2 linked regions of the Caenorhabditis elegans genome follow. The protein of the gene in region 2 interacts with the protein of the main gene of each other region in a pairwise test. Each region holds a gene or a part of one and is shown on either strand. Other genes may lie near its edges.

Region 1 (8,313 bases), on a different chromosome or scaffold from region 2:
CTTTAACAAGTCGTTGCAAATCGGTCAACTGAAACGGAATAATAACCATTTTTTAATAATCACTAATCAAGCAAAAAGTAGGCTTACACTGGCTGTGATACTCTCCATACTCATTGGTTTAGCTCTCGTTTCGTTAATTTTGAACATAAGATGAGCCACATTCTGTGTGATGTATTGAGTTCTATCTCCTTGTGGATCTTCGATGGTTTCTTCTTTTTTGACATTTAAATTTGTCATTGTACCTTTTGAACCACCTCCAATAAGATAATCAATAATAAGCTCATCGCGAAGATATCCATTGAATCGGATCCAATTGATTCTCCAATATTGACCTGCATCACCATCCTCTGGAGTTGAATCAGCTTTTCGCTTTCGGTTGTTTGAAGTTGAGTCGCTAGTGGATGTTCCTGTAATAAAATATATGGAATTTATTTAAAAAGATTACTATGGTGCTAAAATGCCCGAATATGTATATCATAATAAAACATTTCAAAAAATTCGGAAAATCATATATTTTGAACCAAAAACCGGTGAAAACTCATTTTTCACCAATTTGTTTGGATGCTGTCAAGCAAATGTTTTTTTTCAGTTTTATTATGTTTGAAATATTTATATTTCATAGTGCTTCAGATTTCTCTAAGAGCGAACTCATTTGAACCACTTTTTAACACGAATTAAAACAAATTTTTAAAAAATTTAGATTTCAATATTTAGTAATTTAAGTATCATGCATGATAGAAATAAATTTAATCATTTTCCTACATGTCTATTCACTATTTATTTTTGATCACGATTTCAATCGTAATAAATACAATACAATACAATACAGACCGCATTCTAAATTTAAAGATTGCTTTATACTATTTTATTCTCATTACCTTCTTTCTTTTCCATGATATTAGTAGATATTGCAAATGGATCAAAATTGGTCACAAATTGAGGACAACCATGAATTTCTGATTCTACAGACGGAACTCGAATGAGAAAATGTGCAGCTGCGAGTTCTTCGAAAGATTTCTTGATGTCACTGAACACGGCCGTCTCATCTGTCGCTTGAATTCGACGAATTGTCTCGGATACGGTAAGCCGCCCTTGAGAAATAAGTTCGACGCAGATAGACTCTGCAGCAGGTCCGTAGAGCGTTTTAGCAATGAGGCAAGCTCTGAAAATTATATATTTGGCTCTATAAAATATATTTACAACTTTTTACCTCGGCGAGGAAATGACATGTTGAATTTGGTCGGAATCTGCAACATATGTGGTTCGATTGTTCGTGTCCAAGTGGAAAGTAACAAAACCAAAGTTGATCAATGTGGAAACCGATTTTCTGATCTGAAAATTTATCTATTTTTTCTGCAAGTGAACTCAATATCCTCCAAATCAATATAACTAACTAGAGTATTTGAAATTTGTCCTTTCAGTTTATAAAAAAGAGTAGACAACTGGCAGCTTTCTTTCAGAATCGTCTCCATTACTTTCGCCACAATCTGTAATTCAAAAAAAGTTTAAAAAGAAAGTTTTTAAATTCTTACCTTTCCGAAAATATCTTCGATGATAATTACACACATTTGAGTCTCATACTTTCCACCACCCATTTTTGATCTGAAGGTCTTTTAGTAAAAAAGCTTTCCTTGGAAGTTTTACAGATATTTGGCTTTGCAACCGCTCTGGAAATTGTTTTTTGAAAATATTTTTTTTAAGTGTTGTTTCTAATACAATAAAAACAAGTAAAACAAAACAAATAAAAAGTTAACAAAAAATTCAACAACTGGCAAATAAAAATGCAACAAAAAACATTATTGTCTTCTGCGAATAGCCCTTTTTCGTCCTTCCTTCTTTCCTTTTGCCGCTTTCTTTCGTTCCTTTTGGGATTTTTTGTGTCGTTTTGTGTCCCCGCCAGCACCAGAAGATGTAGCACGCTTTCTGAATAATGGATCATATGTTGGACAATTTTAAAAGTTAAAGATTACCTTTTATTTCCTTCGGAAAGTGCTCTACCATCTTCTCCTCTCATCATATAATCTCCAAAACTGAGCAAATCATCAAGAGTTTCCGAACGTCCTAGTTGTTCGCTTCGTCGTTTCTGATCCTTATTCAATCGAATTCTGGTGAAGTTATCCTCCTCATAACGTTCTCTCTCACGATCATATTGATATTTCTTCTCACTCATCTCTCGAATTTCTTCCGGAGCATCACTGTATTGATTTTTGAGTTCCATAATAAGACTACTTTGCATTGCACGACGTTTTGCCTTTTCTTGTTGCTTGTTCGGAGCTTCGTCTTCTTCTAAAATGAACATAACTTTACGGAAAACTAATTTTTGAACATACCTTCATATCGAACTGCTCTAATTCTTGGTGCCACATATTTCTTAACTTCCTTTGCTCCTTTTCCTTCCTCATCATCTTCATCTTCCTCCTCTTCTTCTTCATCTCCTTCAACGTCCATATTGTCTAATCGAACTCTGTGATTTCCCTTGGAAGAACCATTTGATGCTCCACTCTCGGCGCTTGACCGGCCTAGTAGCTTTTCAATTTGAGGTTTCATCTTATCCTCGACTGGTTTCATTTTTTCAATGAACTGAAACTAGTTTTTTAGGAACAGTTGGAATACTAAAATACATACCACTCTATGCTTTAAAGCTCTTTTAACAGATGGTTCTACTGTAATTGACTCTCCTTTCATCATTTTCGACATAAGGACAGTCAACTCTCCAAGGTACGCTGTCATTTCATAGTTTTTCAGCTTCAGAAGACTAAGCCCCTGTAAATAAAAAAGTTTTTGAATAAATCTTGAGGTTTTCATTTCACTTCTTTGTCATCGTTCGTTTCCTCCATCCGATCGAAAACTTTACTGAAAGCTTTTACTGCTTCTGCAGTTTGAGTTTCCAGTTCTGCCACTAAATCAGCAAACGCTTCTTGCTCCGTTTCGGTCATCTGAAAGAAACGTTTTTTTTGATACAACACAAATTCAAAAAGTTAATTAATAAGATCATTCAAGATAAATTGTTGGAAACGTACCACACAAAAAAAAACAGTTTAAAAAAGAAAGTAAAGCGTTTTCTAAATTTATTTTTCTTTGGTTATTGGAATGCGTGAATTGAGTTATTTGTATAAAATTTACAGAAATGGTGGATAAATCTTTGATTAAATTGTTATCTACACGGCGGAAGAAGATGGTGGTGGCGGTGGTGGTGGTCCATCATTTCCGTCGTTTTTCGCATATGCCATAAACATTTCTTTAAGAAATGATAACTCTTTCTGTAGCTGCTCGACCTGATAGAGGGAATTAATTAAAATTAAAAAATCAAGTAAACAAGTACCTTTCTTTCTAGTGTTTCGTTCTCCTTTTTTAATTCGTCTACTTTTTCTGCAGTGTCATTTTCTTCCTGGCGTTTTTTTTGTCGGGTTCTGGAATTTTTAATTAGATTTTAGCGGCTAAAAATGAAATTTTACCTGTTCACAGCTTCGTTATTCCGTTTTCGTTTAGTGGAATAGTCATCTTCATCGTCCTCACGAGGCTCTGATGTGTTTCGCTTCCGATTTCCACTCATCGCTTGAAATTGCAACAAAAAATCGAGGAAAACTATGGAATTAATAGAAAAATGATGGAAAAAAGGTTTTGTGGAATTACGATAAAGTACGCGCGAGTGTGTAAAACGGAGCGTCGTTGCGTGAGACACCACAGAAATTCGAGAAAGGGGAACTAAAACTCCTGAAAAAATATATAGGAAAGAGCTACTTTCACGATATTCACGATAAATTAATTACTTTATATTTCTCGAATAAAACTGAATTTATTTTAAAATATAGTAAATGAACTATGTACTACACAAATTATTTAGCCAGCCAATGCAAAAGTGGAGGTACAGAGAGCATATAACCATGATCGTAGATGTAAATTCTCTTATCATAAGCATTATAGCTAATCATATTGGCGTTCTTGTACAAATTAATCCATTTAATCAAAGGTTGGGAGTATGTGTTTCTGTAGAAATCGTATGCCGTAGAGATATACGTGGATTGTTCTGATGCACTTTCCACCTGGAATAATGTTGATTTGATTTTGCTATTGGTCAAGCTTGATATCAAATAAAAAATTCTAAACCAAATAAATTGTTCCACAAACGACGATTCCATTTGCAACATCTGTATGATTTACTGTCGTGAGGTTGAATGCCTCATAAATTGTCAAATTATTTATATCCACCTGGAATAGTACCTAGTAGATAGATTTCAATGAACAACTTAAAATTACTTTAGCTACTGATAAGAAAGCTTCTTCCTGATAGTGAAACATGACCCAAAGTGCATTTTCATCGATTGCCAAGTCAAAATAATTCATCGAATTATTATAAAGGTACTGAAATTGGAAACTTTGACTTAAAACAATTTCAAAACTCACCTGATCCCCACGATAAGCTGCTCCCGGTATTTCAAACTGTGAGTACTGTTTCGAGTTGAACTCGTATTTTGCAATAATTGGATATCCTGCTCTTTGATAGAAAAGAGATGCATTGAAAATAACATGATTTGTTCCATCGAATATATATGGAAGGCGATGGCTGAAAAAGAATAAAAAGTTCTCAAATATTTGAAAAATTTTGAAAGAAAACCATACACTTTTCCGACATGGTCCCGTCGCATTTCAGCTTCATTCCTAAATTCGATGAGCTCGTGGCCTTGGAAATGGTTCATTACGTATCGTTTTCTAGCGTCCTGAAACAAGATATACATATGTTGAGATATGCCTTTCTCATAATGTACAGTATACCAGTACTCGGCGAACCAGTGAGTTTCGGTTTGTGACAGCTTTCCAAACTTTTTTTTACTTTTTCCCGGTTTTTTAGCATTTTCATGCCCGAACGTCTCGACCGGAAAACGCCTCCGAAAAATGAACCACGAACATACATACAGAAAGAGTTGAATAAAGTGTGAGCAAATTTTTCAGTTCCATTTTCAAGCTCCCAAACTTACATCGCCGGTTGGAGGGTATGCATCTCTCATCCAGCTTCCATAATATGTTGTAGAATGAGAATGGAACACAGGTTTTCCAACGTTTTGAAGTCGGCAATCTTAACATTCTTCAACTCCTTTTAAGACTGAATATAATACTTACGGGCAGTAACTCCTTGAATATATGCAACTGGAGTCGTAATGGTCTCTTCAATTTCTTCATCGAGAGTGTAGTTTTTCAAACATATTTTCACGCATCCCTCGACTTCACTGTAGTTGGAAAGGATCTGAAAATATGCTTTGGATCTGAAAGTTATTACTGAAGTCACCTGCTGAACCAATCCAGGCATTGGTTGATGTGTGACTGAAGGCCAGGGAGTTGTTGGAATGGCTTCTCTGTTCGGGCATTCCAGATTTTCAATCTGTAAATTCTTTCCTTCTTTGAGAAGCCCAGAGAAGCTAGGTTGTTAGACAATCTACATAGCTCACAGAATCTTGAACAACTTTATATTTCAGCTAGAAGTCACGATCTGCGACCTACCTTTCTAGGTTGTAGGTCCAGCCCCTTTCAAACTTACAGTAGGACATTTGAACTCCCTTTCCATCAACAGCTCATCTCTAATCGGGCATGAAGAACAATCCGCATCTTTTCCAATATTTCCAGGTGGTCCCACAGGTCCAGGGTGCCCTGGGATTCCCATTAACCCTCTTCGTCCTTGTGGTCCAGCAGGTCCACTCTTTCCAGGTGGGCCTACAGGTCCAACAGGGCCCGGTTTCCCGCGCACGTCGTCTTGTTCACTACAGTATTCATGAATTTCAGTACATTTGTGCATTAGCTCTCCAATTTTTACAGAAGACAAGGATGTTAGCCACAGGATGTCTGAAGCATTTTTGCCTCTTGATAGGGGAATATCACGTTTGGAACGAAAATTTAGTTCAGTGAGAGATTGACATTCGGATTCCAATGTCCAAATTCTGAAATTAATTTTTTTCTGCAGTTTTTTTATAATATATCTTCTTGATGAATCACTTGCCTGTAATGAATATGAGAAAACGCGAGAACAGCAATTAATGTGATTGCTAAGTTGCAATAATGTAAATTTTCTTCCATTTTAGTTGAAGAAACTAGGCTCAATCAATAGGTTCCTATCAGTAAAAGCTTGATAATAAAAGTAATATATTTGGGTGGTATAGTGAAATAATGTGCACATTTGAAATGAAATATGATTCCAGCAAATAATTGGAATAAACATTTTGTGCGAAACTTTTTGTTGATATTCGCTGATTTTCAGTTGCGACAGAAGGCGATGTTAGAGCAAAGAACCGGTGTTCTTTACAAATATTTGTAGGTTTTTCCAAAACTGTAAACTTAGCATATTGAGCCATTAACACCTAAATTCGTTTTCATCATATCTATCTGAATATGTGTTCAGAGTGTGAAGTGTATGTAGTTTGTAGAGCTCCAAACGTTTCTGGTTAGTGAATAAATTGAGTCAAACTTGTAAACACTTTACACTTTTCCTCTTATAACTGCTGACAAACAGCTGTTCCTGATCGCGGTCACTCTTTTTACACTTTCTCCGCATTCTTATTGTTTTTCTAAGTCAGAAGTTTATTCTTTCCACACGTTTTCATTGCAATGAATTATCTTATTTTACTTGCCTTTTTGGCAATAACTTTGACTGTTTCAAACGTGGAAGGCGCCAAGAAAATGCATTCGGATACGTCAAAACCACTCTGCGGACTTTGTGTTAATGTTGTAAAGCAGCTCGATCAGGTTTTGGAACACGGAGGTGATATTGAAGCGGTAAGAGATTCAAATACCTTTAACAATTCTTTATTTCAATTATGCCTCTGATCAACCAATTAAAGCTTATTTTCAGGCAGTTGACAAATTTTGCAAAGAAGATGTTCCATCATTTATGGTTGATATGTGTGAAAAGGTGATCGAGAAGAATTTGGAATACATTATCAATAAACTGAAGGATCACGAAGAAGCCGATAAGATTTGCACTGATATTCTTCTTTGTCGCACTCCAAAACAATATTATTTCTTGGAAACTCAGAAGTAACTCGTAATTTTTTTAAATAAATATTTTTGAAATAATAAATTTGCATTTATAACTAAAAATGAATTCAATGAGATCACAGAGACGTAGAGAATGATTTTGAGAAACGGAAAGGCACTGTAGGTTGATTGGAAATTAATAGTTTCGGGAAATTGAAGTGATTTCTTGTTATACCCAATAATGATTTGTCGGTTGTGTTTGAGCAACTTGCTCAAATAATCGCATTGGAGGTGGAGTATCAGATGTTATTCCTGCGTAATCCAGAGAAGATACATTTTGACGACGAGGATTTGGAGGTTTTCGTGATGAAGATGACTGGAAAGTTATTGATTAACCGTGCGGATTCGGTTTGAAAGTTTTTAATTTTCCAGAAGATTAGATGACTCGAAAACTTTCATGAATTACAGGTAGATATAGTTTGTCTATAAACTACTGGGAACAGTCTGTAATTTTGAAATACCACAAGGAAGATTTTGTTAGTAAAAAATTAAATATCAAAATAATCTGGACGATCTCCCTGTCTGTGTCTCCAAAATGAGAACTCCAAGACCGATCAGCAATCAGCTCTGCTTAGTTTCCGACCAATTAGAGGCTTTCTAGTTTATCTATTTCTGTGGGCTGTTAGGAGATAAGCACTGACTGTTATTGTTAATTAATAATTTTAAATATAACATGAAAAAATATATAAATCCCTACCTCTGGTTTAGGTGGTTTATTAAATGACTTCATTGTCATCCTATCCTCGGCTTGTCTCACTGATGCAAATACAGTTGTACCCAACAAGTCGGGTGGTTTTTCATGATCAATACTCTCTGATGGTGATGGTGGAAGCCTGGTTGGTGTATCCAATTTTGCATTAATCGGAGTCCTTGTTTTATTTTTCTTCTTTCCTTCTCCGCATCTTCTACATATCAAAACGAATATTGTTGCGGCAACAATGGCTCCAAGTATAACTACCGGAAGATTGTTTTCTCCAAATATTGAGAATTTCGTTGAGTCAGATCCACCATTTGAATATGGAATCATTTGATCTCCAGTTGTCGAAGGATCATAGTTTTCCATATCAGCACGAAGTATGGTGATTGGAAGAGTAAATCGTGCTGGTTGAACATTATCGGCTCGTACTTCTAATTGTACAATCTCGTGAACTTCTTCCTCTGTGCTAAATGCCTTATAATATACGATTCCTTTTTGAATATCAGTATTCGTAAAATAGTATGTGGAATAATTGGTATTCGGATCAAACGTCAAGCGTCCAAATTTGAGCGGGGAAGTAAGAAAGAACCGAG
Region 2 (9,580 bases):
GATTTTGGCGATGATTCACTGTATGTTTTTCGAAATCTCAATTTCAAGACCAAGACTGATGTTTTAATTACAGTGAAACCCCTGACGAATTTGAAGAACATCAATCTCAAAGGATAGAGAAAAAAGGAGAAGAAGCGGAAGAAGCGAAACCAGAAGCACAAGGAGTCGGAACTGACGAAGTAACCGCGTACTGCACAAACTACGTGGAGAACTACAATTTCTATTGTGTCGGGGACATGTCTCCAGAACACGAAAAGTTTTGCAATTCGTACAAGAAAAACTGTCCCGATCGAGTTTCGTGAGTATCTGCAGATGGTTATGTTTTTTTTTTTGAATTTAATTTATTTTTTTTGTTTGAATTGTTTTGTTATTTGTTTGTATATAAAGAGTTGAGTCGTCTATTTTTGATACTTTCGTATACCTTCGGTTTTTTCTTACTCTGGATGTATCTCAAAACAAGATTGCATGGTTTCTGTAGTTGTCTAATTTTCTATTGGGAAGGAATGATTAAAACCTGTTCAGTTTATAAAGCCCCGCTAGTTTTGTTTTAACACCTGAAAAATATTTGCTTACAGTTGTGCATTGTTAGGCATTTTCGGAAGTATGATAGTTCTCTTTTACAAGAAGCTCTCCATTCTGTCCCTTGTTCACAACCAAAGCGTGCTAGCATCGCGAGAAAGTCAAAACTAGTTTATGAACATTTTTATACGCTTATTGTAAACAAACAACATTATTAAAATGCAAGTTTGAATTTGAAAAAGTATGTTTAGTCACTCCTTGTTAGTGCCAGAAAGCAGAGCAATTTTCAAATTTGACCAAGGGTCCGTACTTTTATTATTCAAATTGAATTTTATAGTTTGACTGCAGATGCTGTCTTTCAACAGATTCCTGCTGCTTGAATTAATTCCAGTCTGTTGCTGTTACAGACTAAAGCAATCCGGCTCGTTTTTGGGAAATGAAGGTGGTAATGAGGAGAGTAGATCATCAACAGGGGAAGATAAAACGTATTTGTATAAAGGGTCAAAGAAGGAATACTGTGAGAAGTTCAGCGTTAACTATGAATATTATTGCAAGTAAGTTGTTGAACGAAAAACCTTACGAATCATTTTTTTTTGCCAGAGGCAATATTGAAAATGCGGAAATCTTCACGAAATTCTGCCCTTCGTATAAAAAAGCATGTGTGCAAGAGCGGTGAGTTGACACACGCGAGTTTTTAAGCAAACTTCCATTGCAGAGTGCCAGCTAACCCATTCTCCGCTTCTAAGGGCCAAATACAATCAGCAAGTGGAACATCAGATTTCCCAGATTTAGACCATCCGGTAAAAGCTGTTAATATGAAATTAGGTGTATTTAAAAAAAATTGAAGTCCATTAGAAAATCATCAGCAGCAAGCAGACGTGCTAAATTGCTGAAAAGAAGACCGTGTTCCGCAGATTGTGATGAACGAATATTTCCACATTGTACAAAGGTTTGTTGATCTTTTTTAAAATTAATTCGAATTCAAACTAATCTAGGAATGCAAATGTGACTACGATTACCCAGCGGTTCAAAAGTTCTGCAACCCACCTCCATTGCCTCTATTTCTAAACACATGCAGACTTTGGTATTATGGATGCCCGAAATACGAGAGATACCATTATGCATCTCAGTTTATCTATTCGAAAGCAGAAAAAGGAAAAGTTTTGGAAGGACCAAAGACGTCCACAACATTCCAACTGTTGGCTCCTTCTGGTGAAACTTTACCGTATAAACCGGCATCTGCTCGAAGATTCAAGAGAGATTCTGACATGGTTTTTTGGCCAAATGATACTAGTTTATTTTTAGAAGACAATAAGAATGACACTGTCGATTTTGAAATGGAATTGAACCAAACTACAACAAAAAACGTTGATAAAGTAATAACTTTGAAGAATGGAACAACAGTTCATCTAATTGCGGCGCCACCACTTCCAAAGCAAACTAATTCAAGGTGAATTATTTCTATTTTCGAGTTAAATAACAAAATTGTTTTGCTAACTTTTTAGAGGGAATGTGTTATAGAAGGTGTTAAATTAAAAGCATAAGATTTAGATTATGTAAGCCTTAGTCGAAGGGTCAAAAAATCAGGAAGAGTTCCGAATTTAAGATTTGAAAATTAAGAACAAACGTCTTCAGACCTGCGCTTAAAAGCCTAATAACGACTTACACATAAAAATTCGAGTGATGGAATCTTAACTTAAAGGTATGCATCTAATAGTTAGGATTTAAACATAAAATCCTAATATTTAGTTAATTAAGTTTAACCGCCGATTCTGACGTTCCGATTTTTAGGTTCAAGTCCTAGGTTTTACGTTTTTAGGTTTTGAATTTTAGTTGCAGGCCCTGGAGTTTAGAACTTTAATTGCGACCTTGTCTCTTAGACAAACTCATATGATTAGGTTCTTAAACTCACAGGTTAGACTCTATAAATTGCTTTAAGAAATAATGAAAATGTTATATTTATTTCTAACCAAGTCGCAAATCTTCTTTCAGAGATCAAGTTCTAAAAGATGCCGATCAATCAGCTCCCAATCTTCCACGCGTGAAAAAAACTACAGGTGGTGCAGCAGTTCCAGTATTTTCGGACAGTGTGTTCTCCAATGCATTAGATCAATACAACTCTTTAACCGACTCTCGAGGAATCCTGCATCGCCCTCGTAGTAGATCACCATTCACTAAACCAGGGCTCTGGGAGCCGAATCCAGATGACCCACATAATCGCGATCATGCTAACAAATACTATTATCACCCGGAATCCGTGAACGTGGATTGGCTCCAGGGCCAAATCGCTTATGGTGCACATTGGGCCGTGCCAGCTGCTGGAGTTGGAGGTACTGATGGGTTTAGTGCTATTCACTTTCCCTCTATTGGAACTTTCCTTAATATTCCTGATGATTATGATTAATTATTTCTATTTTTCTACTTTATTTTGATTAATGAAAAGGAATATAAATACTATTTGCTATTGAGATGAGATGAGATAAAATGAGGTTGGTGAATAAGGGATAAGGGATAAGTAATGAGGAAAAAAACGAGAACAAAATAAAATTAAATTTGAATTTATGTACACACACAATAAAATGAGAAAAAAACGCGATCTGATTAATATATTTATCGCTTTACAAACATCATGACCAATCGCTTGTAGTCCTCGACTTGAGTCTCCAAGGTTAAAACCATTGCTTGAAGTTGAACTTTTCGCTTCTCTAGACGCTCTCTTTCCTCCTTTGATTCGCGAATTTTGGCTTGGCGCTTTTGACGAGATTTTTGGGATGCTAGATTGTTCTTATCCCGTTTATGACGGTAGTCCGATGACGAATCGGACGATACCGATGAAGTTTTGCGCCCACGTGTTATTGTCGTTTCAACTGTTGAGGAGGAAGATGATTGAACTGAAATGGTTTTTAATGTTTAAATTGAACAAAGAGCTGAGTTAAAGAATATATAAATGGGTTCAGACGATGACGTGGATTTTCCTAATTAGTGTGATACTGTCTTAAGCTTACTTTTATTATTGTGCACAAGCTGTGGAAAGAACTCGTCAACTGGATCAATGTCCGACGCTGGAGGAGAAATGTGTGAAGCGTTAGAAGGAGAGGCAATGGAATCATCATGAATGTAGGCGTCAAGAGATGTGATATCACAGCTCATGAGAGAATCCAGATCAAGAAAATCTGCATCTGGAGATGCAGCCGAGGAACTATTGGCGGCTGGTGGGAAGGCTTCTGGAACCGGTGGGAAATCGAATGCATAGTCGAAGGATGTGTACTCTGGTACATCAAATTCAAAGCTCCCGTGGGAAGCTTGTGGCGTGCTCATGTTGGGCTCTGAAAATTTTATTATTCAAATTATGATTCAAATTCGCTCAAATTCGCCAACTAACCGCTCAAATAACGGTCCGCTTTCGGTAGGGAACGTCGTGTCATTGTAGTCGTGTAGGTCGTTTGCTCGTCGAGAACCACAATTAAATCGCAATTTGGTTGATGCGTGAACTGTAGTGGAGATTGCTCGGCAGAATTGATCTGGTGAAGCTGAGGAACTGTAGTCGTCAGGCAATCCGGCAGGTTTCTGCAAGAGTTGAGGATCCGACGATGGTTGTGGTCGGCGTGGACTGCATCCTGGAGCGGTGAGTGGGCCAACGGCGGAAGTGGCGGCGACGGAGGCCAAGCCGAAAACCCGACGGCTAGTGGAGCCGATAGCTGAACAATTATTTGTAAAAATAAAATATTCGTCCAATTATGAAAAACTAACCGGCTCCATACTTGGCCTCGTCCATGAAGCAACACTGTTGACTGAACATGTTAAAATCGGTGGTTGTCTTTGCGTGATACATTGTGGAGAAAAGAAATCTTCGGGAAGGCCGTCGAAATCTAGTGACAAACGAGCTAGCTTCTAGCTAGGTGGGGAAAACTTTTCTGAAATATATTAATTATCGATTTTATTCGTTTTAATTTGAATTGTATTGATTTTTTATATTGGTGATCGCCACGTCATCGTCATAAGATAATGATTTAAAAAGGTAATTATTATTTGTATATGACAAACCTGGAGAAGGCGATGAAAGCGAACTGATGGACGTTTTGATTGCTCCGCGGACGGTGGCGGTCGTGGGACCTTGAAACTGGTCCCTTGCTGAAAAATACCACCGTTTAGGCAAAAGCATGTCAAAACAATCGATTCCCGTAAGCAAAATAGAAAAAAAAAACAAAAAGTCACCAATGGACAATTTGTCAAAACGAAAGAATGAGGCAGAGAAAACCCAAAAACCACGTTAGAGCGGACGCTCCACCCACTATTGCACAACATTTGGCAAGATTTCACATGATGTCACCCAGTCGGAGACAGACGACGGGGGTCGACAAGACACTGTGTGTCGCAAGAGGATTAGGGATGGCAGAGTGTGTTTGAATAGGACAGTGAGCGTGCGCCGACCGACACAGCCGACCAACAATGTGAACGAAGTGTGGAGAGGAATATGTGTTGATTCAGACCACAACCAAAAGATCAAGGAACTGAAACACACATTCTGACCCATCGTTGGGTTACTCAGATGGTGATCATCGGTACAAAAGTATAAATAGTATGAAAGTATTCTGATTCACATTGACAAAATTCATGAAGCATCTCTAATTGAACAAAAACTGGATTGCAGGAGGTCACAATTGATGATGATTGATTTCCAATTAGATATGGAAAATTGTTAGCTTCTCAAAAATACCTGAAGTACATGTAAAAAATTGTTCCCGTACCGTCCCAGAGAAATGTATGAAAAATAACTATTATTGTGATTCAAACAAAAATTAATCAAGCATTTATATCACAACCGACGTCACTACTTATCAAGTACGACATAATTTATTCAAATACATTGTGAATTTTTATATACAGACAAGATATGGTGTGAACTCATTACTTGTGCGTTCTATGAGCAAATTTATTAACATTTGCTTATTTTCGATATTTGAATTTAACACATAGGTATAATAACAACTTCATAGAACATATACATTCCATTTAAACAATCGCACATTGGACTTTTGCTTCAATTCTTCATAACGTCATTTGATAAGAATTGAAGATTGATAAGCGGAGTTTTCTGAGTAATCTTCGCTTTTTTCCAATGTTTACCCTGTTCAATAAAATGTATTTCTGACTAACCTTTTTGATCACACATTGCATTGACAGGACGTCGAAAGGGCGACTTGTTAGAAAATCATATGATCCATTTGAAGACTGAGAATACAAAATGTGAAAGATTTTCTTCAAATGAGTTCAGTTTATATAGTCCACTCTTGATGCAATGTTGTGCAACAGTATGTCACAAGATGTACCTAGTCACAAACTACTGTAGTTTCATAATTTTCAAAGCGGAGTACTCTCAACGTAGGAACAGTTTTTTTCGTTTATATTTTAAAGTTAATGAATCATTTATCCAAAAGGCTGCTTGCCAAAATTAATCAACATTCGACAAAGCTCCTGGTTGATTCAATTATAAAAAATAAATATTCAATTTTACATTTCTTCATTAATTTTTCTTCGATTTCCGTTTGTATGACTTTATGTTATTGAACACAAATAAGCGATTGCAATTGTTGCCAAGCAACCGGAAAAACCAGAAAAACAAAGACGTAAATTTGTAGTCAGAGCAAAATATGAAAATGAAAACCAAAAATAGAATGTGTCTGTGGCTTCAGCTTCAAAGTTCAGGAGATCAAAGGAAATTTTGAGCTAACTCCGGAGTTGGGATAATGTAGACATGAAAGAATAACAAAGAAGGCGCTGTAAAATGTGGGTGCATATTAAAACCACCAGCTCGAAATCCACAAAAGGATTTAAATATTTGTTGTTTTTCCTTGTTTTGCAAGCCAACACGCTTACACAAAATATTTAAGTATAGGATGTGAAATGACACTAGAAAATAAATGATCGCATTCTAAAAACTGACCAAATGTTGTTTGAAAGTATATACATACAATGTTTGAACAAATTTTCTAAATACAAGAAGTTTGTGTGCCACACTACATGTAATTGTCCCAATTACAAAATTATTGGTTATCTTCTTTACTTTTTGTGTCTGTGTCGGCCGATAAATTGTAGTCTTCCTCTCTCCCGTCACGACCTTGCGTTCGGTTCGTTTTCTTATTACTTGACAATGTTTCTCTATAGAATACTCGTCCGCCTCTTACAATTTTATTATTTTGTCAAATTCTCGGCAATTCTATTCCTGGGATTTGCGGTTAAAGGAAGATCATTGTTTGAGAAAAAGCAGCGGGAGAAGCCAAACGTTTTGGAAGGATGGGACAGCAGGTACATCAAGTTAAAGGTAAAAAATAGTTTTTTTTAAATTTTGCACTATGAAAAATTGCAGAAAGTGCGGCTTCATTATGTCCAAACTGGATCCGATGACAAACCATTAATGCTATTTATTCATGGATACCCCGAGTTTTGGTATTCTTGGAGATTTCAGTTGAAAGAATTTGCAGATAAATACAGGTGCTTTAAAAAAAAAATTACTGTTGAGAAAGACTTCGAGTCTAGTGGAATCACGGTTGAGGATGACCCACAAGTGAATTTATTGTTTAATCAAAGTTAATCAAAACAATAAAAAAGTCGGGACCCTCACGAGTCCGGCAAAGAGAGGAAAAAAATAGACCGGCATTGAGAGAAGAAAGGGAAAAAAAAGACTTTTAGGGAAATTAGAGATCATAGAATTAATTATAACCGTCAAACAAAATTATTCAGAACCGTGTTATGGAGGAATCAATAACTTTAACAAATTCACGGGGAGAAAGGAAATGGGGAGTATTATGAAAAATAGCATTCCAGACGGGGACGGTTGAGGTGAAAAAATCAGTAATTTTTGGTTTTGTACAAATAATAATCATAGGCCTTCTTTTAGACTCTGTAATTCTGATCAGATCGTTTAGATTTGGGAAGTAAGAGGTACCGCTTATGAATTTATAAAGAAGTAGAAGCTTTGCCTTAAGCCTTCGATGACGAATCGAGTAGATATTAAGAATTAGAAGACGGTTTTCATAAGAAGTAAATGAGATATTGCATCTTTGTAATACTTGTCGAGAGAATGATCTAAGAGGCTTTTCAAGATGAGCAGAGAGTTTAGAGTTAGGAGAGGGAGAGTAGACGACTGAGCAATATTCGATTATAGGTTTATTAATGTAGTTAAATCAAGAATATGTTGCATATTTTCCCCTTGTTGAAATTGGTACTTGTTAGCTTCATTTTGATCTCGCATCGTTGAACATCGATCTTCATCCATGACAGTTTTCGACGTTCCAGATGCACTTCTTCTGGTGTCAAACCTCCAAGGGCGTTTTTTTTCGATTATGACTCAAAACTTGAGGCACTATCTACATCTTCAAACTTTCCTAACTTGTCTAATCTTCTCTTCAACACCACTCTCTTCACAAATCTTACTATCATTTGTCATTGTTGGACTCCGGAAAACCACCTCACTTGGACATTCAACTTTGTCAGATTCACTAACTCTACTAATTTTCTCGGGGCACGGAGCACGGAGCACGGAGCACGGAGCACGGAGCACGGAGTAGAACACGAGTCATAATCGCTCAACGCCGTCAAACGCTCTTTGAGGTTTGACACCAGATTAAATTTACTATCATGGATAAATTTCGATGTTCAACGATGCGAGATCAATCTGAAAAAGTATCCATTTCAACGAGGGGAGGTGTTGGTTATCAAGATTATTAATTAAAAATCGAAACGTAAAAAAGACGGAATTTAAAATAAAATTATTAAGAATCAGTCGCTGCGTTTAAATGCTTGGACTTACCACAAAAGGTCCCCACGGCACGGTAACAAGGTTATTGTTATTTCATCTACTGATGTTTGCAACAAAAGAAATTTACTACGTTTTGAGCTGAACAATTAATGAAAACCTTCAAACCTTGCCAAATTGCATCATTTTGAAAATTGTGTAAAAATTTTTGTGAACATTTTGAAAATATGAAACTTTTTTAAATACTTGCGATTTTTGAAAACAATTTTTGTTGGAATTTATAAAAACTGTCTAGCTATGTTACCAAAACTATCGATGCGTGTAAGATTTATAACGTTAAATTCCAGATGTGTGGCAATCGATCAACGTGGCTACAATCTTTCCGATAAGCCAAAACACGTGGATAATTATTCAATTGATGAGCTAACTGGAGATATTCGAGATGTCATTGAAGGTCTTGGTTATGACAAAGCTATTGTAGTTGCTCATGACTGGGGAGGTCTTGTTGCGTGGCAATTCGCGGAACAGTATCCAGAGATGGTGGATAAGTTGATTTGTTGCAACATTCCAAGACCCGGGTCTTTTAGAAAACGAATTTATACCAGCTGGTCACAGTTCAGAAAAAGCTGGTGAGTATTCTGATGAGTGCAACATATCATTTACAACTTTAGGTACATGTTCTTCTACCAAAACGAGAAAATACCAGAAATGCTGTGTTCGGCTGATGATATGAAAATGTTGGAGCTCTGCTTTAGAGCCAAAGAAATTGGAATACAAAACAACAAGAACTTCACGGATGAGGATTTGGAAGCATGGAAGTATTCATTTTCAATGAATGGAGCCTCATTCAAATATCCTATTAACTACTATCGAAATATTTTTAATGCAAAGAAGCAACAGGCTGATTTAGTGTTGGAGGTACGGTTTGTTATATGGTCGCCCAATTTTTTTAAATTTAGGCCATTTTTACTAGAAGCAACGCATTTCATTCTGTTCAACACAAAAAATTCTATAACCGCCATTCATTCAAAATAACAGTAACTGTAGCAAAGAATCTGGAAAAAACGAGACGTCTTGAATTGGAATTTTGAATTTATAGACTTTTTATAGAGATAAAAATTCACAGATATGAGTTTTCTGAGACGGTGAACAAGATAAAGTATGTTTCTTTGATGAAAATGCTCATGATACCAGAGGCGTGTTGAACAAAATCAATAGTTTCAGTTAAATTTTTAAAATCCAGTTTGTGGTGTGTGCGGCAAATTTCAAAATTTGCCCAGTTCGGCAAATTCGGCAAATACACTT

The links.
Region 1: the proteins of zip-2 (region 2) and cebp-2 interact in binary tests that used the Caenorhabditis elegans proteins (3 or more experiments, as listed by UniProt).

The regions. Positions count from the first base shown.
Region 1 is NC_003279.8:6,248,324-6,256,636, reverse strand, and holds cebp-2 (CCAAT/enhancer-binding protein homolog 2), read right to left. Parts: upstream 3,556-8,313; 5' UTR 3,554-3,555; coding exon 3,456-3,553; intron 3,411-3,455; coding exon 3,323-3,410; intron 3,276-3,322; coding exon 3,159-3,275; 3' UTR 3,053-3,158; downstream 1-3,052. Other genes in the region: let-611 (DNA-directed RNA polymerase III subunit RPC3), read right to left, coding at 1-28, 88-407, 879-1,162, 1,211-1,332, 1,395-1,487, 1,533-1,595; lpd-2 (LiPid Depleted), read right to left, coding at 1,797-1,923, 1,971-2,286, 2,331-2,580, 2,626-2,763, 2,811-2,936; cof-2 (Olfactomedin-like domain-containing protein), read right to left, coding at 3,837-4,043, 4,108-4,209, 4,258-4,362, 4,405-4,564, 4,621-4,718, 4,977-5,074, 5,119-5,242, 5,285-5,377 and 2 more; spp-15 (Saposin B-type domain-containing protein), read left to right, coding at 6,595-6,762, 6,839-7,027; C48E7.6 (Chondroitin sulfate proteoglycan 4), read right to left, coding at 7,193-7,339, 7,721-8,313. UniProt on the Caenorhabditis elegans protein: Transcription factor that binds to the promoter and the enhancer regions of target genes. Regulates expression of genes involved in fat metabolism, including ech-1.1 and fat-5.
Region 2 is NC_003281.10:829,158-838,737, reverse strand, and holds zip-2 (Transcription factor zip-2), read right to left. Parts: upstream 4,651-9,580; 5' UTR 4,564-4,650; intron 4,434-4,563; 5' UTR 4,279-4,433; coding exon 4,270-4,278; intron 4,218-4,269; coding exon 3,902-4,217; intron 3,846-3,901; coding exon 3,525-3,845; intron 3,411-3,524; coding exon 3,130-3,410; 3' UTR 2,927-3,129; downstream 1-2,926. Other genes in the region: dos-3 (Delta and OSM-11-like), read left to right, coding at 1-20, 74-298, 927-1,073, 1,120-1,191, 1,235-1,319, 1,367-1,468, 1,515-1,969, 2,512-2,923; ceeh-1 (Epoxide hydrolase 1), read left to right, coding at 6,467-6,841, 6,887-7,011, 8,623-8,904, 8,947-9,193. UniProt on the Caenorhabditis elegans protein: Transcription factor that binds to the promoter and the enhancer regions of target genes. May act together with the bZIP transcription factor, cebp-2. Involved in responding to mitochondrial damage.